2 linked regions of the Arabidopsis thaliana genome follow. The protein of the gene in region 2 interacts with the protein of the main gene of each other region in a pairwise test. Each region holds a gene or a part of one and is shown on either strand. Other genes may lie near its edges.

The links. Proteins that work in one complex are often made in the same cells at the same time.
Region 1: the proteins of AT5G15880 (region 2) and PLDALPHA1 interact in a protein complementation assay, tested with the Arabidopsis thaliana proteins (one large-scale study listed by BioGRID).

What each region holds. Positions count from the first base shown.
Region 1 is NC_003074.8:5,326,882-5,336,060, reverse strand, and holds PLDALPHA1 (phospholipase D alpha 1), read right to left. Parts: upstream 5,868-9,179; 5' UTR 5,642-5,867; intron 5,235-5,641; 5' UTR 5,227-5,234; coding exon 5,131-5,226; intron 5,008-5,130; coding exon 3,105-5,007; intron 3,021-3,104; coding exon 2,587-3,020; 3' UTR 2,316-2,586; downstream 1-2,315. Other genes in the region: AT3G15750 (Essential protein Yae1, N-terminal), read right to left, coding at 1-183, 275-396, 472-566, 776-835, 957-972; AT3G15740 (RING/U-box superfamily protein), read left to right, coding at 1,508-2,182; AT3G15720 (Pectin lyase-like superfamily protein), read left to right, coding at 8,604-8,726, 8,822-8,956, 9,048-9,179. UniProt on the Arabidopsis thaliana protein: Hydrolyzes glycerol-phospholipids at the terminal phosphodiesteric bond to generate phosphatidic acids (PA).
Region 2 is NC_003076.8:5,182,969-5,190,369, reverse strand, and holds AT5G15880 (golgin family A protein), read right to left. Parts: upstream 4,720-7,401; 5' UTR 4,583-4,719; coding exon 4,298-4,582; intron 4,167-4,297; coding exon 4,044-4,166; intron 3,940-4,043; coding exon 3,751-3,939; intron 3,659-3,750; coding exon 3,577-3,658; intron 3,353-3,576; coding exon 3,288-3,352; intron 3,212-3,287; coding exon 2,909-3,211; 3' UTR 2,684-2,908; downstream 1-2,683. Other genes in the region: TBL19 (TRICHOME BIREFRINGENCE-LIKE 19), read left to right, coding at 43-846; TBL21 (TRICHOME BIREFRINGENCE-LIKE 21), read left to right, coding at 1,022-1,852, 1,934-2,683; AT5G15870 (glycosyl hydrolase family 81 protein), read left to right, coding at 5,492-7,401.

The DNA of each region.
Region 1 (9,179 bases), on a different chromosome or scaffold from region 2:
TCGGGCCCTTCTTCTCCACTCTTCTCTTCCCCTTGCTTCGTAGTCAAAGTTTCATAGAACCGCTTCATTGCGACTTCCGTCGAAAGAGCATGCACAGAACTGTGTAATTTCTGAAACTTCTCTCTAGTTTCTTGTTTATCGATAAGCTTTTCTCTAAGCTCATCCGGGAGGAAAGCCAACGCACTTCAAAAAGAGTCAAAAACAGAAAATGTATAACTTACTACTCGATAAGCTTCATCGGATATGTAACACATCGCAACAGACTTGTAATTACCTGGAAACACCTCTAACAAGACCAAACTGGTAACCATTAAGAACTGATTCCTTATAGCCAAAGTTATAACCTTCCTGCGCAATAGCTTCTTTCCCGGCAACAATCCCATCACGATATCCAGCCTACGATTTCAATTTACCATTAAAAAAAGCATTTTAGACACAGAGATGAGAGAATGATCAAGTAAGAAAGAATACCGAGTGGAATTTCACACGTCTCTGCTTATTCTCATTGCCCAACACGCGAGCTTCACTATAGTCTTCTTCATCTGAACTTCCGTAAAAGGGATCATCTAAATTCTAAAGAACATGATTATTATTACCTAAACCAAGAATATGATTCTTATCAGAGAGATGTGGGAATCCAAAACCTTAGAAATACAAGCTCTAAGCCTAAACACAAGACCTCAGCTAAACTATGAGAACAAATTTGTAAGAGTTTTCATCAGAAAAGTAAAAACTTTGTCAATTGCATAATATATGAAGGGCAAAGAGTCCTCACCATGCTTCGAAAGCTGTACACTTTCTCCATAAAGCTCTTTGGCCAAATTATCCTTCACATCTGTAAATCATTAAGAAACAAAGTTTTCAAGGTAATTATATTTGGGTGGGGAATATCATCGAACATCTGGTGGGCGATTTATGAAACTTATGAAATAATAATTGGTATCATAGAAAGGAACCTTCATGCGGCTCCATCAGTTCTAGACGTCCACGATAAAAGGTTTGAGCAAAGAAGATCTCGAGAGTAAAGAAGAACAATGAGGATCGTCGATGGCCACAACTTCTACGAAATGATATTTACAAAAAGATCTGAGATATCGGGACCTTGATTCGGAATCCACCTGAGTATTTTTGTAAAATAGGGAAATAAGGAAAGTAGTTATTATTAAATATCCTCAAAAAATATTATTGGTTAATACTTTATTTACTTTCATATTATAAATAATATTCGGTATTTTTTATTAAAAGGAAAATTTCCCAAGTTAAACGGAAATTGAGGAGTGGGATATATAACACGAGTGTTTGGCTCAGCCTTGTTACGAAACTTTAGCGATCTCCTTCTTTGATCATCTGATCTCTCTTCCTCTCAGCAAGATAAAAGCAAAAGCAAACTTTCCTTTTTTCAGGTTTTTGCCGTTAACTCAAAATTGCCTCATCTTTCTCTAATCTCTCTATATTAGAACCCTAAACCCACAGCAAATAATCAAACCCATCTTCTTCCAACAAAATCATGGCTTTCTATGTAAACGATAACGTAGACAACGTGATCGATGTCAAGCGGATCTACAACGACTACGACGGAGAACTACGAAAGAGCCAAAAATTGTTTTTCGATTTCAAAGTGCATTACACTCGTGCCGAAGAAGAAGATGATGACGTTGAAGAAGAAGAAGATTTTCCCGATTTTGACAATCTTCAAACTCTAACCCTTGAGCAAACACACGAGTTTGATCGAGATTGGTTGTTTGGTGGAGACGGTGATCATTCACTAGCCATCGTCTATCACATTCTAGATTCGCTCCAAGTCCCTCCTTATTCTGCTATTGTTAACACTCTTGCTGATGAGATTAAGGATTTGAAGAAAGATGGTGCGAAAGACGTGGAGAGGGTACAAGTAAAGATAGGTGTTACTGTCTCGAGGTTTCCCGGTGAAGATGATCACGTAGATGTGCAAGTGCAACTTGCGGTTGCTCCAGCGAACGATGAGGCGGTGGAGATGCACTTGGAGACGCTTGTTGTTGAGAATGAAGGCTATTGTGTGATATGCATGGATAATATCCGAGTTGGGTCAGATGTGGAAGCGGGTCGAATGCCGTGTTCGCATGTGTTTCATCGTACTTGTGGAGAGGAATGGCTTAGGAACAGTGGGATTTGTCCGGTGTGTCGTGCCCTGTTTCCGGCTTAAAACTTTAAAACCCCTTTTGTATTAGTTTTGTGCTATATGAACCCTAGTTTCATGCTTTATCTCTAGATTGTCACTTTCACTTTTCTAATGAAGTATGTTTTACCTAGTTCATTGCTATTTTTGTTTAAACTTTGATGTGAAACACACTAAATAAAAAGAAAAGGATCAGATATAAGATTCATAAGTCCAAAGGTACATAACAACAACAAAACAAGATCACAAAGCTACATTCTCTCACCACGTCATTGTACGAATATAAAAACCAAAGGGGTAAAGAAGTGCATCATCATAACAACCATTTGACTTCTTAATTCTAAAGGTAGACACTCAAGTTTTATTCAAAGCTACAACAGCAGCAAAGCAGAGAGGGAGAGAGAGATCATTACTTGACATGCTTAGTGAGATTAGGTTGTAAGGATTGGAGGCAGGTAGTCTGATTTGGTGCCGAGGATACGGGCCTTTGTGTCCGGGAAGAATTCAAATCCTGGAAGCTCAGTGATGTCGCCTTCGCTGGCTACACCGATCGGGTAGCGGAGCAAGTGACCAGGAAGGTCATGTTCGAGTGACTCACTTGAGTAAAAGTCCCAATACTTGTCAGAAATGCGGTTAACTTTCTCAATGCATTCCAAGCTTGATGGATCGAGGAAGGTTTCATCGAGCATTCCCAGGTGTTCGTACCAGAGTGACATACGAAACCCATGGATCTGGCCACGAGCTGGTTGTCTATGGGACAAGTGATGTGGTTGATAACCTCCCATTGCTATCTCAGAGTCTCTTGCACCGTCCATTGACCTCTGGTTGATGTTAGCAGACCCAATGATAATGTATTCATCGTCAACTGCAAAATGGATTTCATCAAATGAATCAGGCACAACATTTATGTATACTTCTCAAGTTTTTTTCCGTTGAAATGTGAACTTACCGATCATCATTTTGGTGTGGACGTAAATCATGAAACGGCGTGCTTCTTGCGCCCTCATGTAATCAGTGTCGGGGTCTGGTTTCTCAGCAGGCTCATACTCTCCATCTTTCTTGACCTCACGGTTTCCAAGACAGAAGAATGTCAGATAGTTTCTTGGATCTTCCTCAAGACCCTGGGCCCTGAGAGCCTGAATCACATCCTTGTACATCATCTCCATGGTCCTCCTCTGCCAGTCTAATATAGCTTGCACTGATCCACTCTCTGGGAGACCTTCTGGCCACATTGGAACCACAACATAGACCCTGAACTTCTCTCCTTTCTCAATCTTGCTAACTATCTTCAGCGACAACTCTTTTGGGATTAAGTGCAGGGCATTGATGTCCTCAGGAGTAATACCATCGGCTGCCCAAGCAAAAGAACTCCCAAGGAAGTACTGGTTTTCAACGTAGATGAAATCCTTAGCACGTCTGATTGCATGAATGTAAGCATCTTGGATACTCCTATCAATGATGTTATCTTTCCCACTTACAAGCCCGGCTTCCGCAGCAGCTTCAGGCGACTCGGGAAACCCAGCAGCAGCTCCTCCATCAATGGACCTAAACAATTGGACATTCCACACATCGTGGTCCTCTTGGAACATAACAGGAGAAGGGGTGATAATAATATCACTAAGATCTCTCAACTTAACCAGAATGTCTTTACCACCCTGCTTGCTCCATCTCTGCTCGAAGTTGTACATGACATCCCAAGCAATTGGACCTTCAAGACGGGAGTGAATGTCATGCCAAGGCTCCCTTGGACCACCTTTAGTGATAGCAGCACCAGTGAAGTTAGGTTGATGGAAGTCATCATGGTGGACTGTGTCCAATGTCCTGAACAAGGAGTGGAACGGAGTGTCGTATCTTCCATCACAAAGATCAATACCGCCAACAAAACTCACAATTCTCCTCATTTCTGATCCTCCTCTGCTTGGCATCTCGCTGTCCACAACAACGATTTTCTGATGATGCGTGAACATAGTAGAGATCTGCAAACTTTGGACTATGCTACCACCGTCATCCGGGTTACGAGGGCACAGAATACAATGGACATCACTTCCCCTGAAGAAATTCTCGGTCTCTTCATCATGAGTAGCCATGAGCCCATCTTTCTTCAGCACATCAACAGAAGTTCTGTCATCCCAAACAAGCAAAAGAACCCTGACACCTTCACTAGCCTTCTTCTTGAGTAGCTCACCAATGGTCACATCACCTCCAGGCTTAGGCCTCCTCGAGTCCCTCACTAAAGCAATCTCAGCGTAAACAGACCAACCAGTAATGTAGATCAAGTGTTTTGCATTGCTAATAGCATCAAAAATATCCTCCCAACATCTTTGAGGCTCATAGTTCTTCCCTCCAGCGAGAGGAATTCTAGGGACAAAGTTGTCTGGAATATGAGCATCTTGGTACAGAGAAACTTTGCAGCCTTGTCTCTGCGAGAAGAATGTGTATGGCACTCCAGGGAACTTGGCACTTTTGATACCCATGTTCCAGTTACGATCCTCCTCAACATGGAAATATTGAAGCTTGACATGAATCTTTGATCCTCCCTGAATAGGGTTTCTGTCATTATCCAAGATCTCAACCCACTGATCCACTTCCTCGCCGTTAATGACTTGATCAACAGGAATGTAAGCTCTTCCGATAAGGGTAGCTCCAATGGGATTATCATCTTTAACAGTGAAGATGATATCAGAAGCCAAGTGAGCACAGTAAATATGAAACGACTCATACCACTTTGGGTTCTTAGGTTCATTTTTGATCTTCCTGGTTCTCCCAACTCTAGCTTTTTGCAGATCAATCGTCGCATACAACTGTGTTTCTCCTTTACCAACACCAATCGTCTCTTCTACATTTGCCAGAATCTGAAAGTTTCATCAGAAAAATAAAGATCAAACTGTGTATTAGTCCACAGACTAATTTGAACTACAAAATAAGACGTCAGGATTGGCGCAAAAATGATGCAATAACAATGGATCTTATTATACCTTGCCAAGGAAGCCTTGCCTAACACCACCACCATGGAGGGCATCAACTTCATAGATGGTAGCATGTAAAGTCCCGTGCAACAGATGCTGCGCCATTTTTTCACCTTTAGCAATAAGAATTGACCAGAACACAATATTAGTTTCTGAAAAAACTAAAAAAAAAGAAAAGCGAGATCTACGAATCTCAAAGATCTGGTATCAAAATTTTAGAGCAGCTAAATTTTCGCAGTATTGTCCTAAAAACAAGGAACACTAGTTGAATAGTGAAACTAAAGTCACTGATCTAACTCAAAACTAAAGATCGTATCAGTGTAACACTAGAGGACAATAGCAAATGAACCCGATCGTTGATTATCCAAAAAGAAAAAAAAAAAAGTCAGCGAGTTCCACTTATCTCACAAAACAAAGAACCACCTAAATGATCAAACGAGTTTTAATCGCAAAACAAGTAAAGAGAAACATAAAGATAAAATGAATGAGATTCATAGAGATGAAGTAGAGAAATACTAACTTCGAATTATTCCCAGAAACTGAGATCTGATCGGAGAAACTCAATCGTTCGGTGGTCAGAAGAAGAATTCGGGATCTGGTCCGTGATGGAAGCTCTTTAAGAGCTACTTTGTGGAGCTGCTGTAATTTAATTGGAGCGTGTGGGGCCACTTTTTCATTATTTTCTACAGATCTTTGATGATTTAATAGTGACCCAACGTACGAATTGTTATTAGTTTCAGCCCTACACGTTTTTAGTTTCACAATTAGGCCCTAAATAGTTACTCTCAAGAGATTCCTTTCAATTTATAACTTATAATATATAGTTAATGTTACTAGATAACGATATAATTGTGGTTGGATTATGTTATCTCACATCCTAATAGTAATATTTTACGTTACATCTAAAATTATATAATAGAGTGAAAAAGATAAAATGGAAAGTTTAGTGACTAATTGAAAATCTTGAAAAGTTTTAAGAAGGCCGACATAAAAAAAGGAAATAAATATTCAAAGTTGTAATAAAATCCCTGACTTGAGGATAGGGGAGACAAAAAAAAAAAAGAGATATCCAAATCGTGCGCCCGACGTTCTGCATCCAAACGTTACGACATCGTTTCCCAAGCTGAATCCTCACCGTCCATCACAAGAAAACTATATGGTGTACTTTTCTCAAGTAGTACGTGTTCGCATAATGACATGAATTCACTAGCAATAATTTAATTGCTTCATCATTGGATCTCACACATCTTCGCTATAAGATTGGGTAGTTTTTTTTTTCGTTTTTTTTGGGTAAAGAAGAATGTGATAGTTGTATAAAATATTACTCCTCATAAACGGAACGTGGCCACATGGGGATTATACAATGTATTTGCATTCTCTGGTATCTAATAAGTTCTAATGTACTAACCATCAGCAAAACCGTCAATCATAAAAATGCGGTGAAGAACAGATCAGAGGTGTCTCATATATGGGGATCAAAGGGAAAATTAAGACAGTATTGGCAACTCGGCGTAATGCTAAATTGTAACACAATGGTAGGATACAAGGGAGCTTATTTTGGAGCTTATTCCCCTATCTATGTTTATTATTTAGCAATGCTCACGGCAAGGTTTCTGATACGCAGCCACCGCTCACCGGTGACTTGTCTGAAAAATCTGGACTTAAAATAACCCAATTCCTTTGTTTTGCTTCTATATTAGCTTATTTTAGAAAATAGGACTTTTGAATTTTAGTTGACCCAAGGAAAAAATGAAGAAGGGACGTAGAAACTAGAAATTTAGGTGCTATTGATATTTGAATATGGGCCATAATTGGGCCTGGTGATTTAACATTCTGTACACGTATTTAGGCCTGTATCTTGGAATGATTTTTTTTTTTTGTGGTAGGGTAAAACTTGGAATGAAATTTAGGTGCACCTATTGATATTGTCCGACTGTCTGAACTGAATTTGATAAGTAGTACGTGAATCTTTAACTGTTTAGTAGGAAAAAAAAGAAAAAAAATCAAAAGAATATTACTATAATTAAACTACAATAAGTACATAATTAGTTTTTTTTTTTTTCTTATAAGCAAAAAGAAAAAAGCTAAAATAGAAAACCCAAAAGCGAAGCCGAAGAAAAGAAACTAAAAGCGAATCATGAAAGTCAAAAATAGACAGAAAAGATAAGAACATCTCCATCAGTAGTCTCTAGTATGGTTTTTCACTAACTAAAAAATATAAAATAATAATAAAGTAGGAGAGAGAGAAAAGTAAATAATAGGTTACATTTTAATAGGTTAAATTATTATTTTCAGAATAATTATTTAAGTAAATAATAATATTATATGATAATAATTAAAAAACAATATTTTAAGATAATCCACCTAATTTTACCGTTGAAGATGGCCTAAGAAGCAAACACAAGTTTCTTCGGATAGATTATATAAATGTTTTTTGGCTCAACATCTTCTTCAAACTAAAAGTTTGAAAGGAATTACTAATTAGTTATACGATCCGGTTTATCAATCACAACAGATAACCGTCGTCATATAAAACCAAGGAACTAGAATCGGGAAAGCGTAATGATATGAGCTACTTTATTCGCTGCCCGTTCACAAGTTCTAGGTCTGCAAACCAATAAACTTTGTCATTCACTGCTCTCTAGGTCTGAAAACCAATAAACTTTGTCACTCGCTTACATAATTTACAAGTTTCTAGGACTGAAAACCAATAAACTTTTGTCAAAAGAAGACAAATTTAGCATGATATCTTTTTGCTAGGATTGAACATGTCACACTCGAGTATCATGTAATCAAATCCGTGGACCACTTCTCTCAAGTAGGATTCAAAAATGATATCTCAAATAACACCTTTTTAATATGCATTCAAAATATCAATTCAGATTATTTTGTAGATTTAAGTTTTTGTTGAGTGGACGGAGACTATCATATAAATCGCGGCATATACACTATGTGTTTAATGTACAGCTGATTATAACCTCTCTTTTTTTACCTATGTTATATAATTGCAGATATTTGACATTTCCTTGAAAATCAAACGAAGTTAAGGGAAATGGAACCAAAAAACATCTTTAAAAAATGGAACCAAAAAACATGAAGACACATTTATTTAATATTGTAACAGATAATACAATGCTACGTACTTTTAGGAGAACCTTTTTTTATTTTTAATTAATACAGTGCCCACTCTGACGCCTCATGGGCACTGGTAATAAATATGAGATTTGATAGTTACTACATCATTATTTTGTTAAGAAATTGTATATTCGTGTATCCATTTTCTTCACATTGTCTTCCCCTGTCCCACAAATATCCGCTGAACATGGTAAAGTCCTTTAGCATCTTCTTTTCTATGTACATATGTATCTTATGTAAGTAGTATAATATAGTAGCTAGTGTAGTAAAGCCTTCGCTTCAACAACATTTTTTCTTTAGTCGTAAACATATTCATTCATGATTTTAACGCTTTTTCTTCAAAATATATGAAGAAGAAGACTTGGTTCTTGAATTTCTCACTGTTCTTTCTTCAAATCTTCACATCTTCGAATGCATTGGATGTTACTCAATTCGGAGCGGTTGGAGATGGAGTTACAGACGATTCACAGGTAAAAACTAAGTTCTGTAGTTGTCATTTGTCCATTATAATCCGAAAAAGTTCCTAAAATATCAAAGTTTTTTCCTGGAATTAAAAAAACAAAAGGCGTTCTTGAAAGCTTGGGAAGCTGTGTGTAGCGGAACAGGAGATGGGCAGTTTGTCGTTCCGGCAGGGATGACATTTATGTTACAGCCCCTGAAGTTTCAAGGGTCTTGCAAATCCACCCCTGTTTTTGTTCAGGTACTCTGTTTTTCCCCTGTTTTTTTTTTCCTTGGATATTAATGACGAATATTTTGAAGTAAGTAATTACTAGTTTGTAATTTAATTGAAGATGTTAGGCAAGCTGGTTGCACCGAGTAAAGGAAATTGGAAAGGGGACAAAGATCAATGGATTCTTTTTACAGACATTGAAGGACTTGTGATTGAAGGTGACGGTGAAATTAACGGCCAGGGTTCGAGCTGG
Region 2 (7,401 bases):
TTACTTGGTTTCTCGAGATTAAACTAGAATTTCTCATTTCAGGTTGAATATCCGATGGATGCTTCGGTTAAGAATGACGATTATTTCAAACGATGGACATACGAAACATACAATTTCACGATCGCCGCATTTTGGACACCACACTTGGTTAAGTCCAAAGAACCCGACCAGACCCAGCCCAAGCATATTGATATTTTTGACCTATACCTTGATGAGGCAGACGAGAGTTGGACAGCCGATATAGGAGATTTTGACTTCGTAATCATCTCTTCTGGCCACTGGCATTACCGGCCATCAGTCTACTACGAAAACCGGACTATCACCGGTTGCCATTATTGCCAATTACCGAACATAACCGATCTCACAATGTTTTATGGGTATAGAAAAGCTTTTAGAACCGCGTTTAAAGCGATCTTGGATTCGGAAAGCTTCAAAGGCGTAATGTACTTACGAAGTTTTGCACCGTCACATTTTGAAGGCGGGTTGTGGAATGAAGGAGGAGATTGTTTGAGGAAACAACCTTATAGGAGCAATGAGACTCAAGACGAAACGACAATGAAGCTACACAAGATTCAGTTGGAAGAATTTTGGAGAGCTGAAGAAGAAGCGAAGAAGAAAGGGAAAAGGTTACGATTACTAGATACGACCCAAGCTATGTGGCTTAGACCCGACGGTCACCCAAGCCGCTACGGCCATATTCCAGAGGCCAATGTCACGTTGTACAACGACTGTGTCCACTGGTGCTTGCCCGGTCCTATCGACAACCTCAATGACTTCTTGCTGGCTATGCTAAAGAGAGAAGAAGACAAAGGATTCTTGGCGCAAGTTCGAAAAATGTTGTCCTAATGACCAAGCTAAATCAAGTTTTTTGACTTTCTGTCTCCCTCAGGTTTATTTATTATATTTCAGGAAATGGTCAAATGTTGTGCCTAGTTATTGGATGACCACGAGCTCACCATTATTCACCATATATACATACATATTTATGACAAGACCAGACACCATTGTCTTGAAGCAGACAATGGAGCTTCCTTTGTTTGCAATCCTTCAAAGAACACCAAGAGTTGCAATTACATTAGCATTTGTTCTATTTGTCCTCACAATAGTTCCTGCTTTATATACTCTCCTTGCCGATCCAATCTTACCTCCATCAATCTCATCTTTCGAGACTGATCATACACGTCTCAGTCATTTGAATTCTTCATCAAATCAGATTCCTTCACCCGTGAATGGTTCCATTCCCACGCCACCCTACCATACGCCTTCAAAACATCGGAAGTCTTCTTTCCATCGGATTCCTAAACCCAAGAAAGGTCCCATTTCCTCTCCAACCGATCATATACCTTTAAGACAACGGAGTTCTTCATTCGATCAGATTCCTTCACCCATGAATAGTCCCGTTCCCGCTCCACCACATCGGAATTCTTCAGCTGATCAGAGTCCTTCACCTGTGAACGGTCCCATTCCCGCTCCACTCAATCACACGTCCTTAAGACATCTGAATTCTTCATCTGATGATCATTCATCCCCAGTCACCACATCACCATCAAGGACGCGGATCAGAGATGATGAGCAAATGTGTGACCTTTTTACCGGGGAGTGGGTACCAAACGAAGAAGCTCCATACTACACCAACACGACATGCTGGGCAATACATGAGCACCAGAACTGCATGAAATATGGGAGACCTGATACCGGATTCATGAGATGGAGGTGGAAGCCGGAGAGTTGCGACCTTCCCATCTTTGATCCTCAAGAGTTCTTGGAAATGGTTAGAGGGAAAGCCATGGGGTTTGTTGGTGACTCCATTAGCAGAAACCAAGTCCAATCTCTCTTGTGCCTTCTCTCTAGGGTAAAAATCCAAACTAATTGTCAATGATCACCAGCGAACCACCATCTCTCTAATGTGTTGACTTTTTTTATTTCCTTGTAGGTGGAATACCCTGAAGACATTTCTCCTTCACCAGATACGGATTTCAAAGTATGGAACTACACATCCTATAACTTCACTCTTCATGTCATGTGGTCACCATTTCTAGTGAAGGCTACTAAACCTGATCCGAAGTCCAACTTCTTCAGCCTATACCTCGACGAATATGACACGAAGTGGACGAGTCAGCTCGACCAACTCGACTACCTGGTTATATCATCCGGCCACTGGTTTTCCCGGCCGGTTATTTTCTATGAAAACCAACAAATCTCTGGGTGCCAATACTGTGCGTTACCAAACACGACTGAATTGCCTTTGACCTATGGATACAGGAAGGCTTTAAGAATATCTCTAAAAGCTATAATCGAGAATTTCAAGGGTCTGGCATTTTTAAGGAGTTTTTCTCCTCAACATTTCGAAGGTGGGGCTTGGAACGAAGGAGGGGACTGTGTACGGACACAACCTTACAGAAGAAACGAGACTATACCCGAGGCAGATCTCAAGGTTCACGACATTCAAAGGGAGGAATTTAGAGCTGCAGAAGAAGATGGGATGAAGAAGAGTGGTTTGAGACTGAAGTTAATGGACACGACACAGGCAATGCTATTGCGACCAGATGGGCATCCTGGGAGATATGGACATCTACAGAATCCAAATGTGACTTTAAGAAATGACTGTATTCATTGGTGCCTGCCTGGACCTATCGATACTCTGAATGATATATTGCTACAAATGATGAAGACAGATAACTAGAAAGCATCCCTCAAGAATGAGTAGTGGAGACATATATCTAATATCAAGAAAAATTGTAAAGAAAGATTCATGTAGGAGTCTCAGTATTCAATTGCCATATATCCATATGGAAGGACAGAAAACCATTTGACAACAATTATTGTATTCCTATAAATTTTTATATGCAGTATTTTGACTCCCTTGCGCAAACTAAAAGCAGAACAGACTACTCGTGTACACAACTTCTCAAAAGGAAATTCTGATGAAAACCAGGACTTGCAAAGCCAAAATGTAGACGACAAAAGCTGACCTGAGATACATAAGCCTTGTTTGGGTCCCATTTCTTGTAGCAGATGAATATGGAAGGTAGGAATGACCATCAACTTCGTGGTCTGATGTAAATTCTCTATCTGAATTTGTTCTCTTGAATCTGTTCCTCGCAGCGTTCCCTTCAACGTTAAAGCTTTCATATCTTCTCCATAAATTGTTTAGTCTCTCTAACTCCATCTCATTTAGATGAATCTCACCAACAATCCCCTCTGCTTGTGCCTGATAAGCATATCAAAGTTTCTGTTAAGAAACAGTCTAAAGGGAAAAGTGTAGATTAATTTGGGTTGTGATGGACCTGCTTTGCAGCTAATTGCTCGATTAGGCTATGAAGTTGTTTATCCAGTGTCTTCTCTCTCTGAGCTGTGAAAGAAAAACCTTTCCAGTCAGATAATGTGAATGAAATTTTTCACGCTATCAACCTATCTAACGGAACCAAAAAACAGATCTCTATTGAATTCTTACTGAAAATAAGCTATGTAAAACAATTTTTTTTTTGTTTCATATATATTGAAGACGTGATGGTTCTGAATGGTGATAAAATAGTAATTTACTAACTAATCAGAATTGATGACAAAAAAAAGTACCTGGAGAAGGCTGCTTCAGTGCTCTTTCCTGTATAACAGCCCAACTCCTCTCTAAATCCTGAACTTTTTCTTCCATTAAACTCTAAATGGAAAATATAACTTACACTGCCATCAGATATACAGCCAAATCGACTATTCCAATCCATACCCATGAAACGTAAAATGAAAACTAACCATATCGTTCTTTTTGCTCTCCAACTTCTCTAGCATAAAGGACTTCATGGCCTCTGTATCTGCTCCATCTTTTCCATTCCCATCAGGCTGAATAACAGTTTCACTAGAGCTTTTGGACTGCCTTGCATCTAGAGAAGCTTGTGCATTATCCTGCTCAGTTTTCAAGTTTTCCTCTACAGCTTCTAGCTCCTGCAAACCATCTAATATCAGGCAGAACCCAAATGGTAACAGGACCAACATACATATCTGAACAAGATCACAGACAAGAAAAGAACAATTATCTGATAACTCACCTTCAACTTTCTAAGAAGAGAATCTGCTTCATTCCTCTTCTCTTCTATTTTTGTCTCACAGGTTGATATTGCATTCTCATATGCACTATTTTCTTCCAGCAGTGTCTGCTCTCTCATGTGTGCCTAGTTGCAATACCAAAAGAAGAACCATTAGGATCACTTCAACATCAGCCAAAGCCATATCCATTGAAGACTAATCCTATAACGCAAAAACACAATTCCCAAATCAGCTATAGTATTTCAATAACTCAAACCTGTTCACGAGTAGCGGAGTGCGAATCAAGCTGAAGAGTGAGAGCGGCATTGGACGCAAGGGAGTGAGCATGAAGGTCAGGTAGACGCTGGGAGATATCCGGTGGAGGCAATCTGAGCCGCAGATCTTGGATCGAACGGCTGAGGTTTGTCGCTTTTCGGCCAAGCTCATCGACGTATTTCTGCTGCTCCTCCGTGAAAACCAATGGGATCCGATCCTTCTCATCGTCTCCTTCTTTTCCATTTTTACCGACGACATCGGCAGCCCAAGCTAGAAGTCCGGCCATATCTCTTCTTCTTCTCCTTCTCCGTCTCCGTCTCTTTGATGTGACTCGCGGGACGATGGCAGAGCTAAACCGAAGCGGTTGGTGGTTGAACCGGCACGATTCGGTTATGTTAGTTGAATTCTCTTGTTGGTCCGGTTAACACTCAAAATGGCTTTTACTTTCTAGTATCCGTCTTATATATGGGCCTTAAGATAAGGCCTTGTCTATTAAACAAAAATAGTTTATGGGACTATGCTCAAATCTCGACCAAATCAAAATTTTACAAATTAATTCTTATACTAAGCAAAACATAAAGTTGTCATATATGCATTGAAAGCAGCATTATAAAATGACTTAAAATGGTAAAAGAAATAAAAAAAATATCCTGTCCTATGCCTATTTAATATGAGCCTTAAGAAATGTAATATGCATTACCGCGTGTTTGCAATTTACATTGCTTGCAATCAACCCTCTTCCTCCTTCTCTAAGCAAAACAACATCAAGTCACAAAGACCTCAAGCATTTTCCAAACCTATCCAACAAATTTGGAATTTTTTCAAATAACCAATCCAAACCAAACATGTAATACTCAATCACACAAAGTCACATACGAATTACGAACTAAGTTGTTTAACCAAATATTTTGTTGCAAGAATACAAATAACCTTAGAGAATTATTGTTATCCAACCATATTCGTACCGTTAATTTACATTTTTAATTTGGGCATATACCAATATCTTGTCTACGTTTTAGCATCTAGCAAGTCTCCTGCACGTTCCCAAAACCTTAACTTGTAAACCATCTTTTATTATATATTTACAAAATTTCCCTATCATTTTTCTTTCTAACCAAACAAACCCCACAATTTTGCTTTTTGTGAACCCAATTTCCAAATCCGTCGTTATCTCTTCTCCTCTTGACTAAGCAAAATGTTGAAAAAAGTGAGGCGAAAAGTCAAAGTCTTAATCACCAAACCCTTTAAAAAGCCCAAGAACAGACCTCCATCACCACCACCACCTCTTCCTCTTCCTCCTTCACCATCTCCACCACCGTCTCAACAAATGTCTTCCTCAAGACAAAAAAACACTCCGTTTCTCTTCCCAAGATCCGATTCCTCTGTTCTACCCGACCCGTCTCGTTTCTTCAGCCACGATCTCCTCTCATCTCCTCTCCCTACAAACTCTTTCTTCCAAAACTTCACTCTCAACAATGGCGACCAAGCTGAGTACTTTCATCCTTACATCATCAAACCCTCGACTTCATCTCTCTCCATCTCCTACCCATCTCTCTCCCACAACTCTGCTTTCATCTACGAAGCTTTCAACGCCGACATAACCATAACCGGGTCAGATGGACCCGACCCGCATTCTCGTAAATCTCATCTCATCTCTTCCTTCAGCGATCTCGGCGTCACTCTCGATTTCCCCTCCTCTAATCTCAGATTCTTCCTCGTTAGAGGAAGCCCTTTCATCACCTTCTCCGTTAACTCCTCCATCACAATCTCAACGATCCACGCTGTTTTATCACTTTCCGGTAACACCTCTTCAACAAAGTACACCGTCAAACTCAACAACAACCAAACATGGCTAATCTACGCCTCTTCTCCGATCAATCTAACCAAAGACGGCGTTTCTTCAATCAATTGCGGTGATGGGTTTTCGGGTATTATCCGGATCGTCGTGTTACCAAATCCAAATCCGTATTTCGAAACAATCCTCGACGGATTCAGTTGCTCTTACCCAGTTTCCGGTGACGCTGATTTCACAAAGCCGTTTGCTTTAGAGTATAAATGGGAGAAACGAGGCTATGGAGATCTTCTAATGCTAGCTCATCCTCTTCATCTCAAGCTTTTATCAACCAACGATTGTTCTATCACAGTTCTAGACAATTTCAAATACAACAGCATCGACGGTGATTTAGTAGGTGTCATCGGAGATTCATGGGTTTTAAAACCAGACCCTGTTTCTGTTACGTGGCACTCTATCAAAGGAGTTCAAGAAGATTCTCACCAAGAGATCATCTCTGCTCTAATCAAAGACGTTAACGCTTTAGATTCATCAGCTGAGGTCACCAACTCTTCGTATTTCTACGCGAAATTGATCGCGAGGGCGGCGAGGTTAGCTTTAATAGCTGAAGAAGTTTGTTATCTGGATGTTATTCCAAAGATTAGAACTTACTTGAAGAACATGATCGAGCCGTGGCTTAATGGAAGTTTCGGACCAAATGGTTTCTTGTATGATCCAAAATGGGGAGGTGTGATTACTAAGCTAGGATCTAGAGATTCAGGAGCAGATTTTGGGTTTGGGATTTACAATGATCATCATTATCATTTAGGTTACTTTGTTTATGCGATTGCTGTGCTTGCAAAGATTGATCCTTTATGGGGGAAGAGATACAGACCTCAAGCGTATACTTTAATGGCGGATTACTTGACGTTGGGGAAGAAAGGAGCCAAGTCGAATTCGAATTACCCGCGTTTGAGATGCTTTGATCTTTTCAAGCTTCATTCTTGGGCTGGAGGGTTAACGGAGTTCGCTGACGGGAGGAATCAAGAGAGTACAAGCGAGGCTGTCAATGCGTATTACTCCGCTGCTTTGTTGGGGCTAGCTTATGGGGATACACATTTGGTGGCGGCTGCTTCGATGGTTCTGACGCTGGAGATTCACGCGGCGAAAATGTGGTGGCAGGTGAAAGAAGACGACGCTATTTACCCGCAAGATTTCACATCGGAGAATCGTGTGGTTGGAGTGTTATGGTCAACAAAGAGAGACAGTGGCTTATGGTTCGCGCCTAAAGAGTGGAAAGAATGTCGCCTTGGGATACAGTTATTACCGTTACT